Linked DNA regions of Anolis sagrei. The protein of the gene in region 1 interacts with the protein of each later gene in a pairwise test. Links are inferred from orthologs where the notes say so. Each region holds a gene or a part of one and is shown in the gene's direction. Other genes may lie near its edges.

Region 1 (7,495 bases):
GCAAAGGACCTATGACAATAATTTCTTGTGATTTAAGCCTAGACATTTTCCACATACACCTTCCTTCCATAGCAAAGAAGGCTGAAAAGAACAATAAGAAATACATTTGCAGAGAAATTGCTGCACGAGACATTGACAATAGACTAGTTTCCTGTTGGAGGAATATTCTCATGAAGATATTGCAAAGCCAAGTCAGACCATTTCATTTCTTGTTCTTTTACTGATTCTGTTGTTCCACCATTGTCTTGCTCTGGTTCAGGAAGCTCATTCTGGGTGCAGAAATATATTAAAACTGTTTTAAAATGCTGAGAAAAACATCTTTGCACTGATGAACATAGGAACACATAGAACAAAATAATCACAAACAAAGAAAATCTTTTGAGTAAACATTCTTAGAATTCATCTGCAGTGGCTTGCTGACAAAAGTTCTATATGTACACACACAGTAATCTTGAAAGCCACTATGCATTTCTTATGAGATGTAGTGAGAAGTAAAATGCGCCGATCTGGGAATGAAACTGAAATAGATCTAGGCTCTACTTATGAACTATCCACACGTTCATTCATCTGCACTGCCACTACGGTTTTGTTTTGGTTAATTTATTAAGGTTTTTTAGTTTTTTTAAAGATTATTTATCTTTGAAATTTCGATGTCACCTTTCTCACAGCATGGGAAATACGGTGGTTTACAATATTAGAACTTATTGTTGCAATAAGCACTGGGAGCGGTTTGGACGAATGGTAAAATATATGGTTGTAAATAAAAAGGATGGGGAATATCAATTCAGAGTCATACCTGGAATATTTACTTACCAATGGGATTGCCACATCTTCATACGGTAATTTATCTTCTCTCCATGCATCGTCAATCAAATCTAGGATCCTCCCATCCCTCTGTACCTCACTGTCCATCTTTGCTTTAAAGAGAATGAATAAGATTTGTGGTGCATAGCATTGATGTTTTACTGCCTCATGTACAGAGGAAGAAGTGTTGGAGGCTACAGACAATGCCGTTGTTGTTGTTGTTGTCCTTTTTTGGTCAAAACATATTTAGCTTCTTGTGCTCCTATTTTTATCAGTTTTATACTAATTTATGCAATGCTTTTGATACAAAATAAAAATAAATGTTTTACTAGTCGTTTATCTTTCTGGAATGTGTCCAGAGGAGGGTGACTAAAATGATCAAGTCTGGAGACCATGAACTGGGCCTTCAGAAGTGAATTTATTTATTTATTTATTTCCGGTATTTCTATCCCATTCCTTCTCAACCCGCAAAGGGGAACTCAGGACAGCTTACATCTGGCAGCAATTCAATGCCACTACATATAACACAGCAATAGAATAACAATTAAAACAATAAGTAAAACATTCATTAAAACAGTAAAAAACAGTATTAATAGCCGTAACATCGTTCCAGTCAATTCCATATCCAATTCCATGTCCAAAGTGCTATCTATGCCTGTTGTCCAAAAGCCTGGTCCCAGAACCACAACTTCCATTTCTTCCTAAATGACAGGAGGGATGGAGCAGATCTTACCTCAGTGGGAAGCGAGTTCCATTGATAGGGGGCCACAGCCGAGAAGGCCCTGTCTCTTGTTCCCTCCAGACATATTTGTGACGTTGGCGGGAGCAAGAGCAGGGCCTCCCCGGATGATCTTAAACTGAGAGGCGGGACGTAGAGGGAGATGTGTTCGGACAAGTAAGCTGGGCCAGAACCGTATAGGGCTTTATAGGTCAAAACCAGCACTTTGTATTGAGCTCGGAGAACATTGTACTCTGAATTATCTCCTCCAGCGGCTTCATGTAGAAGTGAAGACTGAGAGAAGACATGATCACCATATTTAAATATTTGAAAAGATGCTATAAGGAAGAGGGAGCAGGATTGTTTTCTGCTGCCCTGGAGAATAGGACTTGGAGCTGTGGGTTCAAATTACAGTAGAGGTTATTTTACATAAACATTAAAAAGAATTTCCTGACTGTTAAGAGCTGTTCAGCAGTGGAACTCTCTGCCTCGGAGTGTAGTGGAAGCTTCTTCATTGGAGGCTCTTAAACAGAGGCTGAATGGTCATCTGTTGGGGGTATTTTGATTGTGCTTTTCCTGCATGGCAAGAGTTTAGACTAGGTGGTCCATGCGGTCTTTCCAACTCTATGATTCTCCTAAATACATTCCTTCATAGGAACTCATGGTTATGTAAATGAAACATACATGGAAAAAGCTTATTATAGATTCCTGGGAAATACCAACACTATCTTTCATCTCCATTTTTATATGCTTTCCATTTTTTCGACGAGTTACCATCTATAAAGATGTCTGCCCCGTTGTTCCATATGTGGTAAGTTTACTTAGGGTCTTTGGTGGCAGTATCAAAAACTTTTTGTGAATACAGATTTTTGATTCCCGCAGATCCCTCCCTATTTATTACGAGAATGATACCAATAAGATAATTCCACTGAGTAGTAGCCTTACAGGGTGGCTCATAAGGAATAGAATCATAGAATCATAGAGTTGGAAGAGACCTCGTGGGCCATCCAGTGCAACCCCCTTGCCAAGAAGTAGGAATATTACATTCAAAGCACCCCCGACTGGTCATCCAACCTCTGTTTAAAAGCTTCCAAAGAAGGGGCCTCCACCAGACTCCGGGGCAGAGAGTTCCACTGCTGAATGGCTCTCACAGTCAGGAAGTTCTTCCTAATGTTCAGATTTATTTACTTATTTATTTATCGTGTCAGTATCAACCAAACAATTGTATTACATTTTTAACAAACTTTTAACAAACAGACAAAACAAAGTTTGCAAGCTTGGTAGCTGATTAAATGTCCTTTGACCAGTAGCTGGCCACTTGGACTGCCTCTGGTGTTGCTGCAAGGAGGTCCTCCATTGTGCATGTGGCGGGGCTCAGGTTGCATTGCAGCAGGTGGTCTGTGGTTTACTCTTCTCCACACTCGCATGTCGTGGATTCCACTTTGTAGCCCCATTTCTTAAGATTGACTCTGCATCTTGTGGTGCCAGAACACAGTCTGTTCAGCGCCTACCAAGTCGCCCAGTTTTCTGTGTGCCCAGGGGGGAGTCTCTCATTTGGTATCAGCCATTGATTGAGGTTCTGGGTTTGAGCCTGCCACTTTTGGACTCTCGCTTGCTGAGGTGTTCCAGCGAGTGTCTGTAGATCTTAGAAAACTATGTCTTGATTTAAGTCGTTGACGTGCTGGCTGATACCCAAACAAGGGATGAGCTGGAGATGTTCAGATGGAATCTCCTTTCTTGTAGTTTTAAGCCATAATTCCATGTCCTAGTCTCCAGAGCAGCAGAAAACAAGCTTGCTCCCTTCTCCCTATGACTTCCTCACACGTATTTATACATGGCTATCATGTCTCCTCTCAGACTTTTCGTCTTCAGGCTAAAGATGCCCAGCTCTTTAAGCCACTCCTCATAGGACTTGTTCTCCAGACCCTTGATCATTTTAGTCGCCCTCCTCTGGACACATTCCAGCTTGTCAATATCTACATATCTACAATAAACTACTGTGTTTCATCTCACTGGTCATCCAGCCTCTGTTTAAAAGCTTCTAAAGGAGCCTCCACCACACTCCGGGGCAGAGAGTTCCATTGCTGAACGGCTCTCACAGTCAGGAAGTTCTTCCTAATGTTCAGATGGAATCTCCTTTCTTGTAGTTTGAAGTCATTGTTCCGCATCCTAGTCTCCAGAGCAGCAGAAAACAAGCTTTCTCCCTCCTCTCTATGACTTCCTCTCACGTATTTATACATGGCTTTCATGTCTCCTCTCAGACTTTTCGTCTTCAGGCTAAAGAAGCCCAGCTCTTTAAGCTGCTCCTCATAGGGCTTGTTCTCCAGACCCTTGATCATTTTAGTCGCCCTCCTCTGGACACATTCCAGCTTGTCAAGATCTCTCTTGAATTGTGGTGCCCAGAATTGGACACACTATTCCAGGTGTAGTCTAACCAAGGCAGAATAGAGCATGGGTAGCATGATTAGAAATAGAAAACATAGGACTGGTACATCTGAGCACTTAACTATTACAGTTAATTGATGTCAAGCTGCATTTACACAAGGCATAGGGAAACTTGGGCCCTCCAGGTGTTTTGGACTTCAACTCCCACAATTCCTAACAGCCTCAGGCCCTTTCCTTTCCCCCCTCAGAAGCTTAAGCGAAGGAAGGGGCCTGAGGCTGTTAGGAATTGTGGGAGTTGAAGTCCAAAACACCTGGAGGGCCCAAGTTTCCCCATGCCTTGTGTAAATGCATCCTGACTTCCCTATGTGGATACTTGTGGCCACTTGCCTGCCTATGGATTTTTCAAAGGAAGGAAAAGGTAACTTGTGGAGCAAGCACTTCCCACCCTCTCACCTGAAGCGCCTCAACACCACTGGCCTCTCAACCTCAGGAACAGAGGACGTGACGTCACAGGCGGCCACTCTAGGCGGCGGTAACCACAGAGAGACAGAAGCGGCGGCGAAGGGGCGGGGCTCCAAGTCCGCCCCCAAACACTATCAACGGGGCTTCTTAGACCGCACGTAACGGATGAAGGAGTCGGTTGCAGCTTCCGGTGTCTGCCAGAGCGTGAACGGAAGTGAGGCACTTGTGTTGAGAGACTCTTTTTTCTCTCTCTCTCTCTCTCTCTCTCCTCCTGAGAAATTTGAATCTTCATTCCCTCGCTCTGGAGTGTCTCTCTCCTGCGTCTTTCCCTCTCTATGAAAAAGGGAGCCATTGCCCCACAATGAGCTCCTCCTCTCTTCCTAATGGGAGCTCCAGTCTTTCATCTCACTGACCACAAGGACAACTTTGAACTTATTTCAAAAGGGAGGGGGAGAGAGGGTTATTTCCAGGCCTAAATCCATATTGTTAACCGCAACCCAAAATATACCAGTGGGAATTTGGTAAGTCTGCATTTATTCAGTTGTTTAGTTACACAAATGCAACCACACTGACAAATTAATACTGTTGGATACCACTTTAAACTGCCTGGCTCAATGCTGTGTAATCTTGGGAGTTGTAGTTTGACAAGGTATTTGGCCTTATCTGCCACAGAGTGATGATGCCTCACTAAACTTGGGAAGTCAGATCTGGCCACAGTGGTCTACGCTCTTGTTACATCCCGAATAGATTACTGCAACACACTCTACGTGGGGTGGCCTTTGAATATTGTTCGGAAACTTCAACTAGTCCAGTGGGCGGCAGACAGATTACTCCCCAGAGCGTCATACAGGGAGCATACCACCCCTCTGTTATGTCAGCTCCACTGGCTGCCAATCCAGTTCCGAGCATAACTCAAAGACCTCACCTCTGAGGATGCTTGCCATAGATGCAGGCGAAACGTCAGGAGAAATGCCTCTAGAACATGGCCATATAGCCCGAAAAAACCCACAAGAACTGAGTGATTCCAGCCATGAAAGCCTTCGACAATACATAACTCAAAGTGCTGGTTTTGACCTACAAAACCCTATACGGTTCCGGCCCAGCGTATCTGTCTGAATGCATCTCCTTCTACGTCCCGCTTTGAAGTTTGAGATCTTCTGGGGAGGCCCTGCTCTCGGCTCCACCTCTATCACAAATGAGATTGGTGGGGACGAGGAGCAGGGCCTTCTCGGTGGTGGCCCCTCACCAGTGGAATTCACTTCCTGGGGAAATTAGGTCATCGACATCCCTCCTCTCCTTTAGAAGGAAGCTAAAAACATGGACGTGGGACCAGGCCTTTGGGTGATCTGGCAGATAGACAAAGGACAACAATGACTGGAATGGATAGGATTTGACAATGTGGAATGAATTTATGGATTCCCGAAAAGCTGATGAGTTCTCAGGAAGTACTAACCAGGCCCCCTCTGCTTGAGCAATAACAGATTGTGTACTACGGGTTGAATATCCCGTATCTGAAGTACTTGGGCCCAGAAGTGTTTGGAATTTTAGGATACTTGCATACACATAATGGGGCATCTTTCAGGTGGAACCCAAATCTAAACATAAAATTAATTTACATTTCGTACACACCTTATTCACATGGCCCAAAGGTGATTTTATGTACAGTATTTTTAGTAATTTTTTTAATAGAACAAACTTTGTATATTAAACCACCAGAAGGCAAAAGGCCACAGTATCTCAGCCACCCATGTGAATAGGTTTTGGTTTTGGAGTATTTCAGAATTCCAGTTCCAGAGAAGGGATTCTTACCTGATGATATGTCGGTTTTGAAATAAAACAAACCTACAGTTGAATACAAATGCTTAGAATCAAACTATTCTGCAGTTCTCTCCAGATATGGAGAAAAGCCAATTCGACTTTTCAAATAAAGACATTTAGTGATTGCAATGTAGACTTAACTTTGTATTTAGTCCATATGAAAATATAATATTATATAATTTCTTCAGAAGCATGCACATGTCTTCATGTACTGTGAATTGATTTGTACAGCGTATTTTATGTGTTCAAGGTCTAACTGTATAAAGATAGGAGGAACTTTGTGGTGATATTAAGGAATAATAAGTAGATGTGATGCATTGTATTAGTAATTGGGGCTAAGTAGCACTTATTTATTTAATCTGAAACCTACCTGTTGTGTATTTATTTATGACATTGATTTGAATTCAGGAAATGACATTCACTTAAGAGTAGGAGCACTGTACAGGTTGAGAAAAACTCACCATTGAGGAATGGGCAAATTCAGTAGGCAACAGTAAAAGCTGCAGTCTGCGGAATACAATGATGCACAACTCAGTGCATTATTGAATACCCAATCCAGTTCTCCCCAAACTTTTTGTGATAATTGGATTTTAAAAAAAAATTGGCTTGTTGTGAAAACAGTGGAGAGCCCTTTTCCCCATGATAACTCTTTCAGGAGTGAATTTCCAATCCAAGGGGTACATTTCTCTCATTTCCTCTTGTCTCTCCCCCATCCTTAACTATGAGTCATTAGTAAGTCGGATGTTTGTAACTCGGGGACTGCCTGTATTTGAATTGGATGCAGAATCATAGTAATTAATCTATGATTTGTCTGTTAATGTGTGAATATTGACATAAACACTGGTATGATATTACATATATCTACTTCTTAATTCATGGAGGACCCAGATCATTTATGTTACCATTGAAATCAGTGCAGTGGGTTTTTAAATGTATTTTTTCTGCACCTATCCATGTTATGAAATGATCAAGACTTAGATCAGGTTGGTCAGTATGGGCAGGAGTCTTGATTTTGGTCTGAGAATTGTAATGTGAAATCAGTGCTGGGTTTGTTGCGATAGTGTGGTGGTATTAATACAAAGCTGCCACTTCTAGAGATCCCCAAAAACAGTAGTGGGGTTTTTTAATTGCCCAACCAACTTTGGATGCAGTGGCTTTGAAGAGGTTTTTTTTGGAGGCGGATAGATGTTGAGAGCTACACAAAAGGGAAATGAAAACCAAACTGACAAGTGAATCTTTTTTATTTCCATGTGCTTTGTAAATAAAATGTTTGTTGGTTTTTAATATGCTGTACCGTAAATGTGAGCT
Region 2 (7,361 bases), on another chromosome or scaffold:
AAAGGTTTGTTTATTTTGTGTCAAAAGTATTGCATAAACAAACAAGTATAAAACTGATAAAATAGAGGAGTGGCTCGCAACCTGCGGGTCCCCAGGTGTTTTGGCTTACAACTCCAACCAATTTACCAGCTGTTAGGATTTCTGGGAGTTGAAAGCCAAAACATCTGAGACCCACAGATTGAGAATCACCAAAACAGAGGGAACACAAGCAGCTAAGTAATTTTAGACCAAAAATAGGCAACAGCAACTGCATTGTCTATAGCTTTAAACCAGCAGTTCCCAATCTGTGGTCTATGGACCATCAGTGAATGAGAATATGGTCCGCGGCTTCACATTACTACGCAGTTGCCTCAGAACCACGCAGCGAGAGTGACTGGTCTCACGAAATCCTCTTATGGTGCCAAGGCAACGGGGATGTCTGGAGGGGAGAGGCTGATTACCCACAAAAGATTACTACGACCACATCAGCTGTAGATTATTAAATATGGTTTTCTGTGAGCGAGCAGATGGCAACTACTGGATGGTATTTGTTTGGTATAAGAAACTAGATACAATGCGGTCTATCCAATGCAATTTTCTGAATCAGCACCCCAAATAACCAAACTGAATCTAAAGTTGACCAAAAACTGATCATAACCCTTTTGGTATTGATGTTGGAAAGTGGTCCCTGGTCTAAGTGGGCCCTGGTGAAAAAAAGGTTGGGAACTACGGTTTTAAACAGTTCTTCCTCTGTGCATGAGGCAGGGCATTGTGGGCAAGCATAGAGATGCTGAGTTGTTTGTTCTGCTCCACAGTAGCACAAGGTGGACGATTCTTCTAGATCAGTGGTTCTCAACCTGTGGGTCGCCAGATGTTTTGGCTTTCAACTCCCAGAAATCCAAACAGCTGGTAAACTGGCTGGGATTTCTGGGAGTTGTAGGCCAAAACATCTGGGGACCCACAAGTTGAAAACCACTGTTCTAATTCATGCCATTTTGCCAGGTTGTCTTCTGATCTCCCAACACCACTTCTGAATCTGTTCAGGGACTTCCAAGTTGCCCCATTCTTGGTTTGTCCCTGGAGGAAGACCCTCATGGGGGCCATCCAGTTGGGATTTCCTGGTTTAGTTGCCCAGAGGGATTCTCCTGCTGTTGCTGCGGGGATGCCAAGAGGAGTGGTGGTTCTCAAGAAACTTTCCTTTGATTTGAGTCTACTGGGAGGAGGCTAATAGCCATGCAAGTGGGTAGCTTTCACAGTATTCAATCTTATTTCTCCCACGGTTGGGGGGGGGGGGATGTAATTGTTGTTTATTCATTCAGTCGCTTCCAACTCTTCATGACCTCATGGACCAGCCCAAGCCAGAGCTCCCTGTTGGCCGTCTCCATCCCCAGCTCCTCCAGAGTCAAGCCAGTCACTTCAAGGATACCATCCATCCATCTTGGGGGTGGGTGGGTGTAATGCGACCTAGCTTATAGAGCAGGCATGGGCAAACTTCGGCTGTTAGGAATTTGTGGGAGTTGAAGTCCAAAACACCTGGAGGGCCGAAGTTTGCCCTTGCCTGATTTAAATTAAATCCCCATTATTCCAACTATGGTGGCGCAGTGGGTTAAACCACTGAGCTGCTGAACTTGCTGACTGAAAGCTTGGTGTTTCAAATCCAGAGAGTGGGTGAGCTCCTGCTGTCAGGCCCAGCATCTGCCAACTTAGCAGTTTGAAAACATGCGAAGGTGAGTACATCAGTAAGTACCGCTTCTGTGGCGCAGGATTGTGGTGCAGCTGGCTGAGTGTCAGCTGCATTAAGATCACTCTGACCAAAAGATCATGAGTTCGAAGCCAGTCCGGGTTGGAGTGGGTTTCCAACCATTGTGTAGCCTGTTGTTGACCTTTGCAACCCGAAAAGTTGCAAAGGTCAACAACAGGCTACACAATGGTTGGAAACCCACTCCAACCCGGACTACAACCAGGCTACACAGTTGCATCTGTCAAGTAGGAAAATTAGGTACCACCTTAAAGTGTGGGGAAGCTAATATTAACTGATTTATGAGGCCATAAAAAGAAGACTCCAGCAAAGCATTCCTGCGGTGAAGCATGCGGGGAATGTGGAAGTGCTTCATCAGCGTCGCAGATGGACGATGAAAGCGACAGCTCCCCTGGCGGCGAGAAAAAGTTAAATAGCCTCTGTGTATGATTGTATGTAAAAAAATTGGCATTGAATGTTTGCCATATATGTGTACACTGTAATCTGCCCTGAGTCCCCTGCGGGGTGAGAAGGGCGGAATATAAAAGCTGTAAATAAATAAATAAGGTAACGGTGCTCCATGCAGTTATGCTGGTCACATGACTTTGGAGGTGTCTACAGACAATGCCGGCTCTTCAGCTTCGAAATGGAGATGAGCACCACTCCAGAGATTTGGACTTGACTAGACTTAATGTCAAAGGGAAACCTTTCCCTTTGCCTATCCTAAGTAAACTTCAGAGGCCCCTCCCCCTTCTGGCACCAACGACTGCTCTGGCCAGAGAGAAGACAGAGGGGAGCAGAAGACACTGCCATCTTGTCTTCTGCCTATATCATCACTTCAGAGGCCCCTCCCCCTTCTGGCACCAATGACTGCTCTGGCCAGAGAGAAGACAGAGGGGAGCAGAAGACACTGCCATCTTGTCTTTACTAATAATATAATATAGTATATTGTATATATATATAATATTTATAATATTATAATGTAATACAATATAATACTAGTAATAATAATTCAATATTATAATTATAATTATATATTTAATTACATGTAATATTACTAATAATATTACAATATAATGGTATAGTGCAATATAGTAATATATACTGATATTGTACTTTGCTAATAATATAATATATTGTATGAAAATATATATTGTAAGCCGCTCTGAGTCCCCTTCGGGGTGAGAAGGGCGGCATATAAGCGCCGTAAATAAATAAATAAATAAACAAACAGAACAAACTGGATGTGACTGTACTACAACGGTCATCAGTTCTAGTCCTGATGAGGAACATGGGAGTTGCAGTTCTGCCCAAGCATAAAAATGACAGGGCAGGGGAAAAGGATTCAACCTCACTACCTCTGAGGATGCTTGCCATAGATGCAGGCGAAACATCAGGAGAGAATGCCTCCAGAACATGGCCATATAGCCCGAAAAAACCTACAACAATCCAGTGATTCGACCTTGAGTTTGACACATAAGTCAAATAGTTGAACAGAGGAAGAAACTAAACAACCGAAGTAGGAAAATCGGTGCCAGGAGGAGACTTCGGGGCCAGGCAAAAGAGAAGTGGTGAAATGAACAGAGCAAAAGCCAGAAGAGGAATGTAAAAATCTGAATTCAGGGCAGGAGCTGGGAAGGAGACCTGGAGGGGTTGCAAGGAGGTTTCAGAGGGGTCTCCAAAGACCATCAGAAAATATATATTTCTGATGGTTTTAGGAACCCCTTTGGCAAAGAAGACTGAAGATATGTCAACCTGTCCTTCTCTTCCTTTTTGGAAACAGATGGTGAATCTTCCCACCAAAAGCACTCCTCTGCTCTGAACAAAAAAATTCCCTCAGGCACTAGCAAGCCACACCAAAAAACTGCCAGGCCATCAAATGCTAATCAAGGTGGTCAGTTGTAACATTCACACCTAGCTCCAGCAGACAAGGGTTCTTTGTCCCACTCTGGTCATTCCACAGATATATAAACCCATTTTCCTAGTTTCAAGAGACCTCACTACCTCTGAGGATGCTTGCCATAGATACAGGCGAAACGTCAGGAGAGAATGCCTCGAGAACATGGCCATATAACCCGAAAAAATCTACAGCAACCCAGTGATTCAATATTGAGTTTGACACATAAGTCAAGTAGTTGAACAGAGGAAGAAACTAAACAGCCAAAGTAGGAAAATCGGTGCCAGGAGGAGACTTGGGGGCCAGGCAAAAGAGCAGTGGTGAAATGAACAGAGCAAAAGCCAGAAGAGGAATGTAAAAATCTGAATTCAGGGAAGGAGCTGGGAAGGAGGCCTGGAGGGGTTGCAAGGAGGTTTCAGAGGGGTCTCCAAAGACCATCAGAAAATATATATTTCTGATGGTTTTAGGAACCCCTTTGGCAAAGAAGGCTGAAGATATGTCAACCTGTCATTCTCTTCCTTTTTGGAAACTTCGGGGCCAGGCAAAAGAGCAGTGGCGAAAAGAACAGAGCAAAAGGAGGCCTGGCGTGGCAAGCGGGGGCAAGGTATTGCTTCTAGTCCTCTGCAGAGCCGGCCTTGAGAGGCCCGCGGAGGCCTGCCTTCCTTTCTTTACTCTCTCTCTCTGTCCCTCCCTCTCTTCCTTCGGGCTGCCGGGGCTCGCCCTGGTTCCCTCCCCGGCAGAGGCGAAGGCGGGGGCAGCAGCAGCGGTGGCGTTGGTGTCCGGCCCAAACCCCTCCCTCCCTGTCTCTCTGCCCGCCTCTCCCTCTCTCTCGGGCGCCTGCCTTCGCGGGAGACTCTCCCGGGGACGCCCGGAAGCACCGCTTGGGCCTAGAAGGCCTCTCTCCGCCTCAGCCTCCCCTCCATGGTCGACCCCAAGCGGGGAGGCCTCAGGAAACATGGCGGGTAGGTTGCGCGCGCCTCCCTCTCCCCTTCCCTCCCTCCTTCCTTCCTCAAAAGAAGCACCAGGAAAAGAGGGAAGTCTACTCTTCACAGGAGACCGGCCTGAGGAAGGGGTGCCTCCTTCCTTCCTTCTCTTCCTGCTTCCCTTCCTTCCTTCTCTCCGCGCCTGCGTCGGGGACACGGTTGCGGGGGGACACACACATACATGTAGTGTACAAAGGAGGGAGGGAAGGAAGGGCTTGTGGGACGCCTTGGCCCACGGTAGGCCTCGCCCTTCGATTCCCCCTCAGCGCGAGGAAAAGGTGAGGCCTTCACGCCCCTCGGAGACAAAGAGGGCGAGGCCGGGAAAGGAAGCCCCTTCCCTCCCTCAGCTGCAGCTTATATTCCTGCCGTATTGTTTTGATGTAACACCCTTCCTCTTTCCCTCTCCCCCAAATCCAGATCTGTCGCTGCTTCAGGAGGACCTGCAGGAGGAGATAGACGGATGTGAGTACCGGCTTCTATCGACCACCTCCCTTTCCTCTCCTTTCCTCATTCCCAAGGCGGGGAGAAATAGAGAGAGACACACAGAGAGAGAGGTCTTGACATTGCCCAGGAGGATGGAGGCCCGGGTTGCATTGTGGGAGGAAGCAGCCATGCTTTTAAGCAGCGCCTTCACTCCAACACAGGCCTGGCTTGGTTTATAAAGTTCTCCCCCGCGCCTCTTTGTATGTTTCTTTCCTTCCCGCACCTCCCATTCGTTTGCTTTTTGATTCCCCTGAAGGCTGCTGAGAGGAAATGGGGAAAGCCATGAGTTTGATGGGTCGGTTGTGCTGTCAGCAAGGGCTGCTGCTAGTCTTAAGGAGGGGGTTTAGGTCAAGTTTTGTGCAAAATGCTTGTGTACAATAGAAGGTAATAGTATGATAGCTGGGTCCGGAAGCTAGGAGCGTGACAGTGTTTCCACTTCACTCCTTCAGAAGCGCTGTTTGCACAACGCGATATTATAGAAGGAATGTAAGAGTTCTTTAATGGTAAAACCCAAACCCTTACCCAAACCCTAAATCTTACCCTAATCCTAACCCTAACACAAACACTAACCTCAAAGCTTACCCTACCTTATCCTAAACCATACCCTAAGCCTAACCCCTAACCCTTACTCTAACACAAACCCTAACCCTTAAAGCTTACCCTACCTTATCCTAAAGCTTACCCTAAGCCTAACCTCTAACCCTTACTCTAACACAAACCCTAAACCTAAAGCTTATCCTAAAGCTTACTCTACCATATCCTAAAGCTTACCCTAAGCCTAACCCCAAATCCTAACCCTAACACAAACCCTAACCCTAAAGCTTACCCTACCTTATCCTAAACCTTACCGTAAGCCTAACCACAAACCCTAACCCTAAAGCTTACACTAAATCTTACCCTACCTTATCCTAAACCTTATCCTAAGCCTAACCCCTAATCCTAACTCTAATGAAAACCCTTACCCTACCTTATCCTAAGCCTAACCCCTAATCCTAACCCTAAAGCTTACCCTACCTTATCCTAAACTTGATCCAAACCCTAAACCTTTCCCTAAACATTTCCCTAAAACTTATCCTAACCCTCCCCTCCTTTCTGTCCTTCTACCCTCACGTGGTCCCTTTCCTTATTCACAACAGTCGTTGCAGAATGTGTGTAATGCTCGGAGCTTCTGGACCCAGCTATCATACTGTCACCTAGTAGAGTCTTGTATATCCAACTAGGAAAAGTATGATAGCCGGGACCAATGCTAGTTTTGTGATGTGGGTCAGAATTAGAGAAGTGAAGACGTTACGTATTTGAATGTGTTTGCATACGATATCCGGATAGCCTTAAGCACTATGCTTGGCTGTTTGTTGCCCCCCCCTTCTGTCCCCCCCTTTTTCTGGCAAACTATCTTGCCATGACTCTGTCGCACCTGCGTCTCTCACTCGCTGCCCTATCTCGGGATTGGGTCACAGCTATCATACTTTTGCCACCTTCGCTCATCCAGCGTTCTGTATTATCCAATGCAATCTGCCTTGCGCCCGGATCCACAGCTGTTTCAATACATTGCAATGTTTTGGTGCTAAATTTGTAAATCCAGTAATTACTACATAACAATACCATGTATTGAACTGCTTTTGCTTTCAATTTTTCCATGTATTGAACTGCTTTTTCTTTCGATTTGTTGTAAAACATGATGTTTTGGTGCTTAATTTGTAAAACCATAAATGATTTTTAAAAGGTTTTTCCTTAATCCCTCCTTATTATGCAACATTTTTGCTTATCCAACATTCTGCCGGCCCGATTATGTTGGATAAGCAAGACTCTACTGTAATAGGGATGGTGTTGTCCTGTGCAGGCGGCCTCTGGGTTACAAACAAGACTGGTAACTTCACTCAGGCACAGGCCTGGCTTGATTTATAAAGTTCTTCCTCTCACTGTTTTGTATGCCCCCCGCCTCTTTTCATTTTCTTTTTATTTCCCTGAGTGGAAATGGGAAAGGCCATGAGTTTGATGGGTCGGTTGTGCTGCCAGTGAGGGCTGCTACTAGTCTTAAGGAGTGAGATTTAGGTCAAGTTTTGTGCAAGATGCTTGTGGCAACAGTCATGTAATAGGGACGGTATTGTCCTGTGCAGGCAGCCTCTGGGTTACAAACAAGACTGGTAACTCGGTTGTTTTTTAAAATGTAGTTTTGGATAGCATAAGGAAAGGTTATTATTATTATTATTATATTTGTTTTTGAAGGCTTTGGCCGGAATCACTGCATTGCTTTGAGTTTTCCGGGCTTCATGGCCATGCT
Region 3 (7,157 bases), on another chromosome or scaffold:
AAGAGCATTCTGAACCCCACCAAGGATAGAATTGAACCAAACTTGGCACACAGAACTCCCATGACCAACAGAAAAACTGGAAGGGTGTGATGAGCATTGACCTTGAGTTTTGGAGTTGTAGTTCACCTATATCCAGAGAGCACTGTGGACTCAAACAATGATGGATCTGGACCAAACTTGGCATGGATACTCATTATGTCCAAATATATGCCACTGGTGGAGTTTGGGGGGAAACAGACATTGACATTTGGGAGTTGTAGTTATTGGGATTTATAGCTCAAGCAAAGAGCATTCAGAACTCCATCAATGATAAAATTAGGCCAAACTTCCCACACAGAACCCCCATGACCAACAGAAAATGCTGTGTTTTCTGATGGTCTTTGGTGACCCCTCTGACACCCCCTCGTGCCTCCTCCAGGGGTCCCGACCCCCAGGTTGAGAAACATTGTTCTACGGGTTTTACCAGCCTTTCCTCTCAATCCTGTTCTGCCCCGTATTATTTTCCCTTCCTCAGTGAGATCCTATGAGAAAAGACATGTCAATGGTATACTAAACGCTTTGCATAATGCATGGGCTCTCTCTCTCTCTCGCTATATGTGTGTGTGTGTGTGTGTATATATATAGATAGATAGATAGATAGATAGCAGATACATTGGGATTTTTCTGCAATTGAATGCAGAACATATTTGGCAAATTTGATAAAGTTTCTGTTCCTGGTTTGAAAGTTTTATTTCCTGTTCAAATGTGCTGGTACTTTATAATAATAGATAATAGTATTGTTAAAAAGAAGGAGGAAATCCACAGATTGGATGGTAATATAATTTTGTAACATTATAGCGTGGATACCGAACCTGTGGATACAGCAGGGCAACCATACAGTGAAGTTTTAAAACAATAATAATAATATTTTATTATTGTTATTATTTTGCAATATATTAAAGGTGTGGATAGTTGAACCGTGGATGCGGAATCTTTGGCTAGGGTAGCCTGAGTGTGCAGCAAAGTTTTGCAAAGTTTGATAATATTAATATTAATAGTATTTTGTTAAAAGGAAAGGGGGACCTTGCAGATAGGGTGGTAGTAATAATAATTTTGTAATATTTTCTATGTGTTGAAGCGTGGATACTGAACCTGTGGAGCCAGCAAATCAACTGTACAGTTAAGTTTAAAAACTGTAATAATAATATTTTATTATTATTGTTATTATGTTATAATAGTTTTAAGGTGTGGATATTTGAACCGTGGATGCGGAATCCTTGGGTAGGGTGGCCTGAGTGTAACAAAGTTTGATAATGATAGCAATAATAACTTTTATTATTGTTATTATTTTGTAATATTTTCAAGGTGTTATAATTTATCATTATTAATTATCAATTATTGTTAGTAATATTTTATTATATTATTGTATTATGTTTTATTATTATCAGTTATTAATATTTATGATTGTTTTTATTATTTTGTCATATTTTCAAAGTGTTATTATCATTACTATCAATTATTGTTAATATTTTATTATATTGTTGCATTATTATATTATTGTTGTATTATATTTATTATATTTTAATATTTTATTATGTTCAATTATTATTAATAATATTTTTATTATTGCTGTTATTATTTAGTAATATTTTCACGGTGTGGATAGTTGAACCGTGGATGTGGAATCCTTGGGTAGGGTTGCCTGAGTGTACAGCAAAGTTTTCCAAAGTTTGATAATAGCAAAACAACTATTTTTATTGTTATTATTTTGTAATATTTTCAAGGTGTTATCATTTATCATTATTATTATAAATGATGGTCAATAATAATATTTTATTATATTATTGTATTATTATATTTTTATTATGATCAATTATTGCTAATAATATTTTATTATATTGTTGTATTGTTATATTATTGTTGTATTATTTTTATTATTTTATTATGATAAATTATTATTATTAATATTTTTATTATTGCTGTTATTGTTTTGTAATATTTTCAAGGTGTGGATAGTTGAAGCGAGGATGCAGAATCCTTGGGTAGCGTGGCCCGAATGTCCAGGAAAGTTTTGCAAAGTTTGATAATAACAACAATAGTATTTTATGAAAAGGAAGGGAGGAGAGGGAACTTGCAGAGAGGGTGTTCTGAGTGTATAGCAAATATTTACAAAGTTTGATAACAATAATAATAATAACAATAATAATAATAATAATAATAGTATTTTGTGAAAAGGGAGGAGGGAGGGGAGGGAATCTGCAGAGAGGGTGGTCTGAATGTATAACAAAGTTTTGCAAAGTTTGATAATAATAATAATAATAATAATAATAATAATAGTATTTTGTGAAAAGGGAGGAGGGAGGGGAGGGAATCTGCAGAGAGGGTGGTCTGAATGTATAACAAAGTTTTGCAAAGTTTGATAATAATAATAATAATAATAATAATAATAGTATTTTGTGAAAAGGGAGGAGGGAGGGGAGGGAATCTGCAGAGAGGGTGGTCTGAATGTATAACAAAGTTTTGCAAAGTTTGATAATAATAATAATAATAATAGTATTTTGTGAAAAGGGAGGAGGGAGGGGAGGGAATCTGCAGAGAGGGTGGTCTGAATGTATAACAAAGTTTTGCAAAGTTTGATAATAATAATAATAATAATAATAATAATAGTATTTTGTGAAAAGGGAGGAGGGAGGGGAGGGAATCTGCAGAGAGGGTGGTCTGAATGTATAACAAAGTTTTGCAAAGTTTGATAATAATAATAATAATAATAATAATAATAGTATTTTGTGAAAAGGGAGGAGGGAGGGGAGGGAATCTGCAGAGAGGGTGGTCTGAATGTATAACAAAGTTTTGCAAAGTTTGATAATAATAATAATAATAATAGTATTTTGTGAAAAGGGAGGAGGGAGGGGAGGGAATCTGCAGAGAGGGTGGTCTGAATGTATAACAAAGTTTTGCAAAGTTTGATAATAATAATAATAATAATAATAATAATAATAATAATAGTATTTTGTGAAAAGGGAGGAGGGAGGGGAGGGCACCTGCAAAGAGGGTGGTCTGAGTGTATAGCAATTTTTTGCAAAGTTTGATAACAATAATAACAATAACAATAATAGTATTTTGTGAAAAGGGAGGAGGGAGGGGAGGGAACCTGCAGAGAGGGTGGTCTGAGTGTATAGCAAAGTTTTGCAAAGTTTGATAACAATAATAATAATAATAATAATAGTAGTATTTTGTGAAAAGGGAGGGAGGAGGGAGGGGGGGGAACCAGCAGAGAGGGTGGTCTGAGCGTATAAGCAAAGTTTTGCAAAATTTGATGATAATAATAATAATAATAATAATATTTTGTGAAAAGGGAGGAGGGAGGGGAGGGAATCTGCAGAGAGAGTGGTCTGAGTGTATAACAAAGTTTTACAAAGTTTGATGATAATAATAATAATAATAATAATAATAGTATTTTGTGAAAAGGGAGGAGGGAGGGGAGGGAACCTGCAGAGAGGGCGGTCTGAGTGTATAGCAAAGTTTTGCAAAGTTTGATAACAATAATAATAACAACAATAATAATAATAGTATTTTGTGAGAAGCAAGGGAGGAGGGGTGGGAACCTGCAGAGAGGGTGGTCTGAATGTATAACAAAGTTTTGCAAAGTTTGATAACAACAACAATAATAGTATTTTGTGAAAAGGAAGGGAGGAGGGAGGGGAGGGAACCTGCAGAGAGGGTGGTCTGAATGTATAGCAAATTTTTGCAAAGTTTGATAACAACAATAATAACAATAATAGTATTTTGTGAAAAGGAAGGGAGGAAGGAGGGGAGGGAACTGGCAGAGAGGGCGGTCTGAATGTATAACAAAGTTTTGAAAAGTTTGATAACAATAATAATAATAGTATTTTGTGAGAAGCAAGGGAGGAGGGAGGGGAGGGCACTGGCAGAGAGGGTGGTCTCAGTGTATAAGCAAAGTTTTGCAAAGTTTGCTGATAATAATAATAATAATAAAATAATAATAATAGTATTTTGTGAGTAGGAGGAGGTGGGGCGCAAGCTTGGGCGTGAAGCGAGCCTTGGACTGGATCCGAGTTGGGCGAGGAAAGGGCTGAACTTGTCCCGCCTGGAGCCCCCTCCCCAAAGACCCACCTCCTTCCTTCCTTCCTTCCCTCTTTCCCTCCCACTCACAAGCGAAGAACTTGGAGAGAGAGAGAGAAAGAGAAGCTGGAAGCAGAAGGACCCCTTCCTCCTCCTCCTCCTCCTCCTCCTCCTTCCAGAGAAGAGCCTTGGGGCGCCTACAGCAGCGCCCCTTTGCTGGGCCGGGGTCTGCAGGAGGGGACCCCCCCCCCCTTTGTTTTCTCTCCCCTCCCCTTCCTCCCTGCTTTGGAGGCGAAGAGCCCAAGCAAGCCTTGCACAAGCTCAGTGGAGTGAGGAGCAGAGAGGCAGGAGCCAGAGCAGCCCGCCCGGCGCCGGCAGAATGAGCCAGCGTGGGCTCAGTGCGGCATCTCTCCCCCTCCTTTGCTTCCTCCTCCTTTTCCTCTCTTCTCCTCCTCCTTCTTTCTGCCTTTCCTGGGGTCCGAGATGAGCCCCCCGGGCCCGGAGGAAGCTCCTCTCTCCCGCAAGCAGCGCCTGATGGCTGCGGTGGTGGAGGAGGAGGAAAGGCGAGAGGGAGGAAGAGCCAATGCCTTGGGGTCTTCTCCATCTCTTCCTTCACCTCCTTCTCTTCGAGGGTCTCCTGACTCTTGGCTGCGCTGCTTCGTCTGTGGCGGGGGGATCCGAAGAGGCCGAGAGCTCAAGCTGCAAGTCCAGGCTCCTCGTGGCTCTTCTTCCTCTTCCTCCTCTTCTTCCTCTCCTTTCTTCCCCTTTTTGCGGCACCAGGACCCTGCCCCGGGGGCCCAGGCGGTGAACAGCGAGGGCACGGCTCTGGTTTGTGCCGTGTGTCGCTGCTTCCTCACCGAGCAGTGGGACGCCTTCGAAAGGAGCCGGACCCCCGTCGAGAAGCGGCTCTATTGGCTCAAGAGGCCCCACCAAGGAGAAGCCGGGCCGCCCGGAGGACCCTCAGTGGGACCCCAAGACTGGGACTTCGAAGGCGGAGGAGCAGGCGAGGAAGAGGAAGAGGAAGAAGAAGAGGAGAAAGAGGCCCCTTTCCTGGACTCGGAGCTGTCCTCGCTTTCCGAGACCGAACCCCCTTGGGACGAGCCTTGGAGCCGAGAGAGGAAGGTGGGAGCACCCCAAGACGGGCTGGTCCCCAAGAAGGAGAGGAAGAGGCCGCAACCGCTCTTGGCGGGAGAGCGAGAGCTAAGCAAGCACACCTTTGCCAAGGGAGGAAGAGGAAGAGGAGAAGGAGGAAGCCAGGTGAGCAAGGCTTCCTTCCAAGAAGAGAGCCAAGAGGTCAACATCACGAGTGACAACGAGCACAAGGTCATGAATGGCTCCAGGCACCCACCATTGCCGTCTCTTTCTTCCTCGATGCAAGCGTTGTCCACGTCAGGGCCAAGCGAAGTGGCCTGCTATGTCTGTGGGACTCTCCTCCCACCGGGTGCCCGTCACCGGCTCCACGTCCAGAAGCAGGAGCAGGCCTCAGGGGCGCCTTTCTTCCCCTTCCTATGGCTCCACAGCCCCCCGCCAGGCGCCCTGCCCATCAGTCCCACCACCGGCACCACGGTCGCTTGTTCCGCCTGCGCCGCATCCTTGGCACAGCAGTGGCAGGGCTTCCAAGCGGCCGGCGTGCCCGTCCTGCAGCGCCTCTACGTGGTGCCCTTGGACCCGGCTGCCAAGCCCCGGGCGGCAACCCCACGGCGAGAGGCCTGCTATCTCTGCGGGGAGGAATATGCTGCCGAGGAGGGCCACCCTGTCCCAGCAAAGGTCCTCAACGGTGACGCCGAAGCCACCATGCACTTCCCCTTCCTCCGCCTCCTGCCCTGCCCACCCAACGCCAAGGGTCCCGACAAGCGCTGGGAGGTGCGCAGCTGCCCCAAGTGCTACGGCGTCCTGCGCGACCTGTGGGCCATGTACCGTGCCTCCCGCAATGAGGACTTCATCACCTCCGTCCAGAGCTTCCTGGGCAGGTATCACCGGGTCTTTGCAAGCATGGAGTCCGGGCACAATGCTGTCATCACATCCAGGCACTCTGTTTTGACCAAACAGGGCCCAGTGTCTATTTGTTACATTTGTGGGGCCGAATTAGGACCACCGCCGTTGGGTAAGGAGTGCCAGCTGAGTGTCAACCCTCCAGGCCGATTTGGCGAGAAGGAGCCCTTTTTCCCCTTCCTGACAGTGTACCCACCGGCACCTCGGGCCCGTCCGGCCGACTCTACGGGCACCGTGTCGGCCTGCGTGCTGTGCCACCATGACCTGCTGGGCCAGTGGATCCAGTACGAGAGCAGCCACGCACCGCACCCCAGCAGCCCCTGGTCCAGGCAGTACAAAGTGGAGGCCTTCGTCTGCTTCTTCTGCCGGCAAGAGAGGAAGCGGTGCCTGGGATTAAAAGCTGTGGAGGTTGCCCGCCTGCCTGTCTTCCTTTGCTCCTTCCGGGCACCTGGTAGTCTGCTGGTGGACGACGGTAAGCGGCTGACCATTGGAGCATGCCCAGAGTGTGCCGCTCTGGTGCTGGCGGGCAAAGCAGCTGTGCCCCAGGACCTTTGTGCAACACCGTCGTCTCTCCAAAAGGTAAGGTTCTCAATGGAATTGGAAAAGTGTCCTCCCTCTTGTGATGGCAACGTTGGACAGGGGACCTTTGGCCGGAAGCAGGTGCCAAGTGCCTGGTGCTTTCTAGCAAACCATTTGCCCCAAAGCCATTGACCTCTTAGTCAAAACAAGATGGGTCTGTGACATGGTGTGTGAGAGTGCCGAGAGTGCGGTTCTCTTGTGAAAAAGCAAACGTTGGCTTCTGGGAGGCCGACTGGCGCACAGGTGGTTCCCTCGCACAAGACCAGGAGCTGGGAGGAATGTGCCGCGCTGGGGCTGCTCCACTCCTGTTACTAAATCCTCCTGGAGATTAACTGTGTGTTGTTAGGGGTTTGGGGAAAACACTGCTTCCCAGCTCCAGTGTGCTGGGCTTTTCTCCCTGGGGCTGTTTTGGAGTCATGGGTGGTATCGGGTTTCCTCCTGACCTCACAGTACTAATTTGTGTAACGTGCAACACTTGGGCCTGTGTGTGCATGTGCCTCCGAGTCACCTGTTGACTTCTGAGC
Region 4 (7,905 bases), on another chromosome or scaffold:
TTAAATGCTTTAAACTTTGACCCCATGAATGACAGACTTCCAAAGCAACCTATCATCAACAACACATTTTAAGTCTTGCCAACTCAGAGCCATTGTTTCCTTTTTTGAGTCTATCCATCTTGAATGTGTTCCTCCTGTTTTCCTGCTGCCCTTCACCTTACCAAGCATTATTGACTTTTCAAGTGAGTAATTTTGTCTCATGACATGGCCAAATACAACAGAAACAGTTTAGTCATCTTGGCTACTAGGGACCCATTATAGGTACTTTATGTCAAAAAAATTGACTTGCCAAAAGCAAAACTTGAAGTTTCTGATTTTGATGTAAAGGAATCTTGTGGCTCCTTAGACAATATGAGAAATAACATCGGTCACATAAGGATTAATAAATCGTATCTTCTACCTCTGATCTCAGACAATGATAATCATACTACAGCATCACAGCTAGGGCGGCCTGTGGTCTGAACAGGGTGGCAATGCCTCAAAATGGCAAGATGTGCCATCCCACCTTAAGATCACAAGGAGATGATGTGTCTATGATCTCCATTGCTTGTTTGGAACTTTAGCACAGTCTATTTGAAAAAGGGGCATGGAAGACTGGACAGACATAGTTCTAGATTCCACCTTTATTAATTATTGCCAGAGGTGATTTATTTGTTCAAGCATTCCCATCAGAATTGCTGTCATACCTTTTGACTTAGAAAGGTTATTTGGGACTATAACCTCCAGGAACTCTCAGTCAGTGTGACCACTGTAGTCCAAAGAAAGTAACTTTCTAAGCTCATCAAAACAGGTAACTGTTTACAACCTAGACATTATTTTTTGTCATCATACATAGCCATGTGATTTCATTCAGGCAACACACCTGAATCAAAATGCCTCAACACTGGGATTTTAACATTCCAACAGCAAAGATTACAAATTCAGATTGAGGTAGTGGGCACACCAAAAGAAAAACAGGTGTTGCACAGAGCCAGTGTATATACTGTTGAATAGATTGCATTCACAACAGTGCTAGCAGGTTGTGAAAGGTTGTTTATCTTCCCAGACTTGCTCCTTCAGATAAAATGCCCACCCCATGTGCATTCTCATGTGATCAAAACAGAGAGAGCAAAAGCCTTGGGAGACTTCCTGACCCCGAATTTCATGAGACACTCCTTAGTCTCTGCTCTCAGGCTCCTCCACACCCCCATCACCCCACCTCCAACCCCATGAGACAAATCTCACTTCAATAGAATCTATTATGTCTCTTTTATCCCTTTGCTTTTCAATGGATGACTTGGTTTTGCCTGGGAAGCCCAGCCCCACCGCAGCTAAAGGAGACCAATGGCTGCTAAGCACAGGGAAGAATTAATGCTAAGCGACTGTGCCTTTGTGAGTCTAAGGACTCCAGGCCCATCAAGAATGCCTGGGAACATGTGCAGATTACAACAGGGTGCAAGCAAAAGATTTTTTTTTAAAAAGTCCATTGAAAACAAACATCAACTTTAAATCAGTGTTAACCAGACAGGCAACCCCTATAATGCAAGTTTGGAAACAGGGGCCCCAACACTGTCTCTTTGTTAATTCCATGAAAGCCCCGTCAGCAATGGACAAAGACAAATTTGGAGGGGATGTTGCCATGTGTCAGGTGCAGCAGCGAATGCAGGGGAAGTGAAGGGAATAGACACATGCCATTGGTCCACTGCTCCCTCAGATACAGCTGAGCTACAATTGCACTCAGGGAAGAGAAGGTTACAGGGTCACAGTCTCAAGCAGCATTCTGGCAGGCTGAACAGTTAAGTATAGGAATTTAAGTGCAGCAATGTGCGGAGAAGCATCCAAGAATGCTGCTGTGATCATTACCACACGATGAGCAATCTACCTCTGTCCCTTTGGCAACACTCATTTCAGATATTCATAGTTCTTTGGTACAGGCAGGGGTGGGAAACCTATCCCTCCCAGTTGCTATTGAACTCTAACTCCCATTAGCCTCAGACAGCATGAAAAATGTTCAGGGATAATGAGGAATACATTAGTCTGAAATGTCTGAAGAGTCAATTTCCCTATGTGAATCCTAAGGAAATTACCAGTCACACAGATCAGCGATTGGGTAGTATTTAGTACAGAGACTGCTTGAAAACAAGATAACTGTAGCTCTAACTATAAGTAGGTACTGTCAAGAAAGTTGTTGTTCATCCTTTGGGCCATTGCTATCTAAATGGTTAAAATGCCACCTGTTGACTTTGAATGGGACACTGTCCTCTGGTCAAAACTTAATTAATTACAGCTGAACCTTTATGAATTAATAGATTGTGCAACAATATAAGGTGTTTCTTAAAAACATTTCTCTGTAGATTTCCGTGTACTTAACACTCATGTTCAAACCAGTGGGAATAAAAAGCCTAAATCCAGATAGAGCAGATTCACAAAACCAATTGCTGAATAGTATGTCAACCCATGGCCTAAATATCCTAAAGGCACCAAAGCCTATCTGATCTTGGAAGCTAAGAAGGATCAGTCCCAGTTAGTAATTGAATGGGTGACCACCAAAGAATATGAGGTCCTGTAGTTTATATTTCAGAGGATGGAACTGGCAAAGTCACCTCTACGTATTCCTTGTCTAAGAAAACCATATAAAATTAATGGGGTCACAAGTTGAGAGGTGATGTAATAGCACATATGCATAGGTCAGTTTCATTGATTCTATAGGGATACCCTAGTTGGGGCTAGCAATTAGATTTAGTCCACTATGTTTAGTTTTGTCTGGATCATTCCAGCTTCCACTAATTATTCTGATTGAACTGAATACACACATGAACTCTGACAATAATTAGAAATCTTTGTTGATACTGTAGAGAAAAAAGAGTAACACCCCAAAAATGTCCCAAGAGCATTAGAAGGAATTTTGTAAAATGATGTTAATCGGGATTAGCAGTGTACCAGCTTGAAATCAAACAAAACTGGGGAATCTGAATTAACTAGCACTGATTAGATTACATTTTGCATATGAATCAAATGAAAAATGAAGTTTGCCTAATTGGCATATTGGGTGGGTTTCAGATTCATTAAGTGCAACTATATCTCAGTAGTCTAAAGTCACACCTGCCTTTTCACACTGTATATAATGAGACTCAAGTGCAACTATATTAGTCTCAACCTAAACTCTTATGTACATATAAGACCATATTAAAAGAGCTAAAGATGTAAAATGTTAAGAAAGCATGTGACTAAAGCCAAACCACAGAATGTTGCTAGCGAAATTTACATAAGATAAGAAAGGAAATGGGATTGAGGTGAGTAACAAAGAGACAAAAGGTAATGTATGAGAGCAGACAAGGTGAAGTTCAGATAATTCAGGAAAGAGTTACAGGTCCTGAGGTAGAAGATAGATTAGAGGTCACTGGACAAATAAACAATGCAACAGGAAGTACAGAAATGAAGCCAAAAGGAAATTGCAAAAAAAGAACTACATAAGAAAGTATGTGCTGAAACTAACACAGAAAAACCTATCTTGCTTGGAACAATATTTGTGATAAACATACTATTGTTTAAAAGATTTAGAAGAATTTTTATCATGAGTAATTTTTGGAGACAGTCAGACTGGCATACTTATGAAACAATTCTGTCTGTTTCGTCTCTTCCTTCCTGTTTTAACTTCCTGCTCACTTCCTGTGAAGATGACGTACAGTTGTAAACATCTTAGCCTAAACCATACCACATCCTGCCAAGGTTACTGATCTACTCTGATACAGTCTCTTCCCCAGAAAGCCTGTCTGTGGAGAGAATACTCAGACTTGCATGCCATTTTATGTAGCTTTGGGCTGGAGGGGGGAACCAGTATGAAACCAAGGGCCCTTCTACATAGCCCTATATCCCAGAATAACAAGGCAGAAAATCCCACAATATCTTCTTTGATCTGGGTTACCTGAGTCCACACTCAGATAATGTGGGATTTTCTGCCTTGATATTCTGGGATATAGGGCTGTGTGGAAGGCCCTTGTTTATTTCTCCTGTGGTAGAAACAGGATAATTTATGTTTTCAGCTGGTATCAAATCCTACCCTGACCCTGTTTTCCTAGAACATTCATCACATGACAAACTTGAAGAAATCAACACTTTATGTCACCACATTAAACAGTTTTTGGCATGTCCTAACACTACGATCTAAGGGCCCTTCCAGACAGCCAGATTACCCAGAAGATCAAGGCAGAAAATCCCACAGTATCTGCTTTAAACTGGGTTTTCTGAGTCCACACTATTAATTCCAGTTCAAAGCAGATCATGTGGGATTTTATTCAGCTATGTGGGAGGGGGCCGTGTGAAAATTTTGACAGCTGTCAAACATCTTTTCTCTCCGTTTAAAGCATAATCCCGTGTATACCTTCATAACGATGGTGGCATGTATAAAACACACACAAGTTCTCCAGTATTATCAATAGGACTTTGTTAATGGGGTTTGTAGTTTTGTAAGGCACCAGGTTCGAATCCGGGGAGCGGGGTGAGTTCCCGCTGTTAGCGCCAGCTTCTACCAACTTTGCAGTTTGAAAGCATGCGAGTGTGAGTAGATCAAGAGGGACCGTTTCTGCGGGAAGATAACGGCGCTCCATCCACATGACCTTGGAGGCGTCTACGGACAACGCCAGCTTTTCGGCTTAGAAATGGAGATGAGCACCATCGGACAGTGTCAGGGAAAACCTTTACCTTTTAAGGGACCAGCACTCATTGGCAGAGAACAACAGAGGCCCTGTATAACTACAAATCCCATGGTGGTATAGCATTAAGCCTGTTCAGGTCCTGCATTCCGTATTTCACAATGCCGAGGCAGCATTGTGGCCCCGCCTACCGAGAACTGACGCGGGTTCCCGCCAGCGGCGCCTCATCTGCATGATCCCGCCCCTTTCTCTTGGCCCCGCCCCTCCAGGGCGTTGAGCTTTTCTCGTGCCGGGCCTCGCCTCCCTCTGTGACGTATCACTGACGCCTGCTGCCCCGGATGAGGCTGGGTTCGGAGTGTGTCAGCGACTGTGTGGGGATGCGGCGGAGGCGGCAGTAGTAGCAGGAGGAGCAGCAGCAGCAGGTTCCGCGAGAGAGACAGCTGGTAAGGCGCACCAGGCGGGGCCTGGCAGGGAGGGAGGCAGGGAGGATGTCCGGGTACTAGGGCACGGTGTTGTCGAATCCGGCTGGGCCCCCCTCCCTTCCCGAAAAAGCTCCCGTTTCCCTCCTTCCCCGATTGGCCGCTAATTGACAACGGGGCAGATTCCGCCCCTTAGCGGGCGCTTATTAGTTGAAACCAGCGGCACGGCTCGCCGCGATTGGCTCGAAGCGCTGTCACTCACGGAGTAGGGCGGTGGCGAGTGTCCCCTGAGGGAGCCGGGAGGGGGTTCACGAGGTGACCGTTGGCGTGTCGCTCGCACCCTGAGTGGGGGGGGGGGCGAATTGGGAGGCGGGGGCCGCGCGCGTGGCGTCTCCTTCAAGGCCCGCGTGGCCTCGTGACTCTTCGGACCCGCCTCGCGCGATTCTGGCGCCTGCCTCTTCCAGCTCCCGCCGGCCTGGGCCCTCTTTTATGCCGAAAGGGGCACCCGCCTGCCTCGACTCCTTCCCCTCTTTCACCTTCCGCTCTTCGCAGCTCAACGCCCGCCCCGGGGCCAGTCGCTTGGCCTTTTCTCGAAGGACCGGGCCTACTAGGAGCATCTGAAGAGCATCCGGGTCGAGGGAGCCTCTGGCAACATCTCCCTCCCCCACGTCTTTCTATTTGGTCATGCTTGACTCACGTTAAAGTTCTGGGGTTTCCACCTGAACACCCATTCTCTAAGTACTTCATAACACTAGAGAATGAATCTACATTAAATACGGTTTCTTCTTCTGCAGAATTCTGGGGTCTGTAGTTTAGGGAGGAGCCTTTAACAGCCTCACTAAACTACAAACCCCAGAATTCTGTGGCAGGCAGAAACCGGATTTAAAGTGGATTCATTCTCTAGTGTGATGAAATCATCTCTCTAGGCCTCCAGGTGATTTGTATTCCAATTCCCAAAAGCGTGAAATACTTTGGCCAGTAATCAGACATTCTGGGAACTGAAATCTGAAACACCTGGGAGGCAGGAGCTGGGGAGTCATTTACTAGAACTAAGGCCCCATCTACATTGACCATCAGACTGGCAGCCAGACACAGAAGTGGATGAAAGAAAACCCCTTCATATGTACCAATGCTCTGTGGTTTGTCATCACCATCCTGGCCGCAAACTGGTTCCAGAATTTCCTGTTTAATCGTCTGCACAGCTAAACCAGCATACTTTAATTCTGGTTTGAAACTGCATTAAATGGGGCTGAAGTAATAGCAAATAAGTCACAGCTGACAGATTCCCATTCTGTAAGAAGTGTATTTTTTTGGAGATAACTCGTTTGTAGTTGAGCAACATCCTCCCTCATTGTAAAATCATGATAAAGTTCTGGGTGCCCTGGTCAGTAGCTGAACTTTCCCAACTCCCTAAAACAAAACTTATTTGTCAGTTCAGGCCAGTATCAAATCTTTTGAGGGTTATACATAGACCAAAGGCCTATCAGATCTCCTTTCTGTTCCCATGTTGACCAAACAAATGCTAATTGAAAACCCACAAGCAGAACATGAGTGCATCAGCAATTATTATTATTATTATTATTATTTATTTGTACCCCGCCACCATCTCCCTGAAGGGACTCGGCATATCTAACAAAGCACTAAAGTGCCACACATAAAATAGAATTATATATCATCAAAACAAGGCACACTTTGACTGAATATAAACAACGGACAATATCAATCAATAAATTTTTTAAAATTAAAAATTCTAAAACATGTCATATCTCTCCCTTCACACTTGTGCTTATCTATGATTGGCATACAAAATATACAACTTCTAATACTGGAAATATATAATATCATGACTAATAAGTATTGGTGGTTTTGTTAGTGAATTCTAGAGTTTAAATATGTGTTGTGTGAATAAGGATCTTCTTCCCACATCTTCTGTGTAAAATCCTGGGAAGTCTGAATTCCTTTTTATTGGACCCTGTAATTTGCCGTTCTCTCCCACACACATAAAACTTTCATAAATCAGGTTAAAGTGCTGGCCACAACTGTAAAGAGCTTATGAATATTTACTTTTTGTGAATTATGCTGTAGTGCACTATTAAATATATTGTTTCATGCCCTCACTCTTGGTTTGAGTCAAAAAGATAAAAATTAGCATGATTTGTTTTTATATTTGATATGTATAAATTGTGTCTTCATAATTTTATATCATGAGGAAATGTAGGGAAGGTGAATTGAATGGTCTCTCCACTGTTTGCATTCCATTCTGACTGCTATTATTGAAGCCTAAGAGACATAGGGGAGAAATCTACAGTAAGGGAGCATGGGTAGGTTGAGGGTTTCAGTTTTCCTCCCCTGAACCAGTCTTTGCTCTTAGACCTTGATGCACTTTCACAAACTGTTACAAATGTGATTGCTTCTGTCACGTGCAACTGTACATATTCTTCCTTTGTCAGTCTTACTTGCATCTTTCTTTGTAGCATTCTGCTGTGTCACATTTCAGATTCCAGTCTCCTTGGAAAGGGACCTCTCTTGTTTGTTTGTAAAACATCATATACATTGGATCATTATTATCTCAATAACAAGAATAGCTTATTTACTAATTTTGATATTTTGCTGTAAAATTAAAGCCTCTTAGGCCCCTTCTGCATTGCCGTGTAAAATCCAAATTATCTGCTTTGATAGTCTGGATTATATGGCAGTGTAGAAGGGGCCTTAATTACTATCCTGTTAAACTTGGGTAAAGGAAAAGCCAAGGTGTTCAGCTGTCAAACAGTTGCTAAGATATACAAATATACTGATGATGTCGGAGTACTGAGTTCCCATGAGTCACTGGAAATATTATCCTGTTGCTGAATTAA

The links. The genes of interacting proteins can lie anywhere in the genome.
Region 2: the proteins of CEP63 (region 1) and PPP4R1 interact in a two-hybrid assay, tested with the Homo sapiens proteins (2 studies listed by BioGRID and IntAct). The link is inferred for Anolis sagrei from reciprocal best matches to the Homo sapiens genes CEP63 and PPP4R1.
Region 3: the proteins of CEP63 (region 1) and GSE1 interact in a two-hybrid assay, tested with the Homo sapiens proteins (2 studies listed by BioGRID and IntAct). The link is inferred for Anolis sagrei from reciprocal best matches to the Homo sapiens genes CEP63 and GSE1.
Region 4: the proteins of CEP63 (region 1) and NDEL1 interact in a two-hybrid assay, tested with the Homo sapiens proteins (2 studies listed by BioGRID and IntAct). The link is inferred for Anolis sagrei from reciprocal best matches to the Homo sapiens genes CEP63 and NDEL1.

The regions. Positions count from the first base shown.
Region 1 is NC_090023.1:225,698,491-225,705,985, reverse strand, and holds the start of CEP63 (centrosomal protein of 63 kDa), read left to right. Parts: upstream 1-4,495; 5' UTR 4,496-4,583; intron 4,584-4,597; exon of another isoform or gene 4,598-4,890; intron 4,891-7,495. Other genes in the region: ANAPC13 (anaphase-promoting complex subunit 13), read right to left, coding at 144-269, 814-912. UniProt on the Homo sapiens protein: Required for normal spindle assembly.
Region 2 is NC_090024.1:64,871,003-64,878,363, reverse strand, and holds the start of PPP4R1 (serine/threonine-protein phosphatase 4 regulatory subunit 1), read left to right. Parts: upstream 1-4,341; 5' UTR 4,342-4,569; coding exon 4,570-4,576; intron 4,577-4,677; exon of another isoform or gene 4,678-4,875; intron 4,876-5,014; coding exon 5,015-5,059; intron 5,060-7,361. UniProt on the Homo sapiens protein: Regulatory subunit of serine/threonine-protein phosphatase 4. May play a role in regulation of cell division in renal glomeruli. The PPP4C-PPP4R1 PP4 complex may play a role in dephosphorylation and regulation of HDAC3.
Region 3 is NC_090028.1:25,201,302-25,208,458, reverse strand, and holds the start of GSE1 (genetic suppressor element 1), read left to right. Parts: upstream 1-4,137; 5' UTR 4,138-4,545; coding exon 4,546-6,633; intron 6,634-7,157.
Region 4 is NC_090022.1:125,981,879-125,989,783, reverse strand, and holds the start of NDEL1 (nuclear distribution protein nudE-like 1), read left to right. Parts: upstream 1-4,885; 5' UTR 4,886-5,074; intron 5,075-7,905. UniProt on the Homo sapiens protein: Required for organization of the cellular microtubule array and microtubule anchoring at the centrosome. May regulate microtubule organization at least in part by targeting the microtubule severing protein KATNA1 to the centrosome.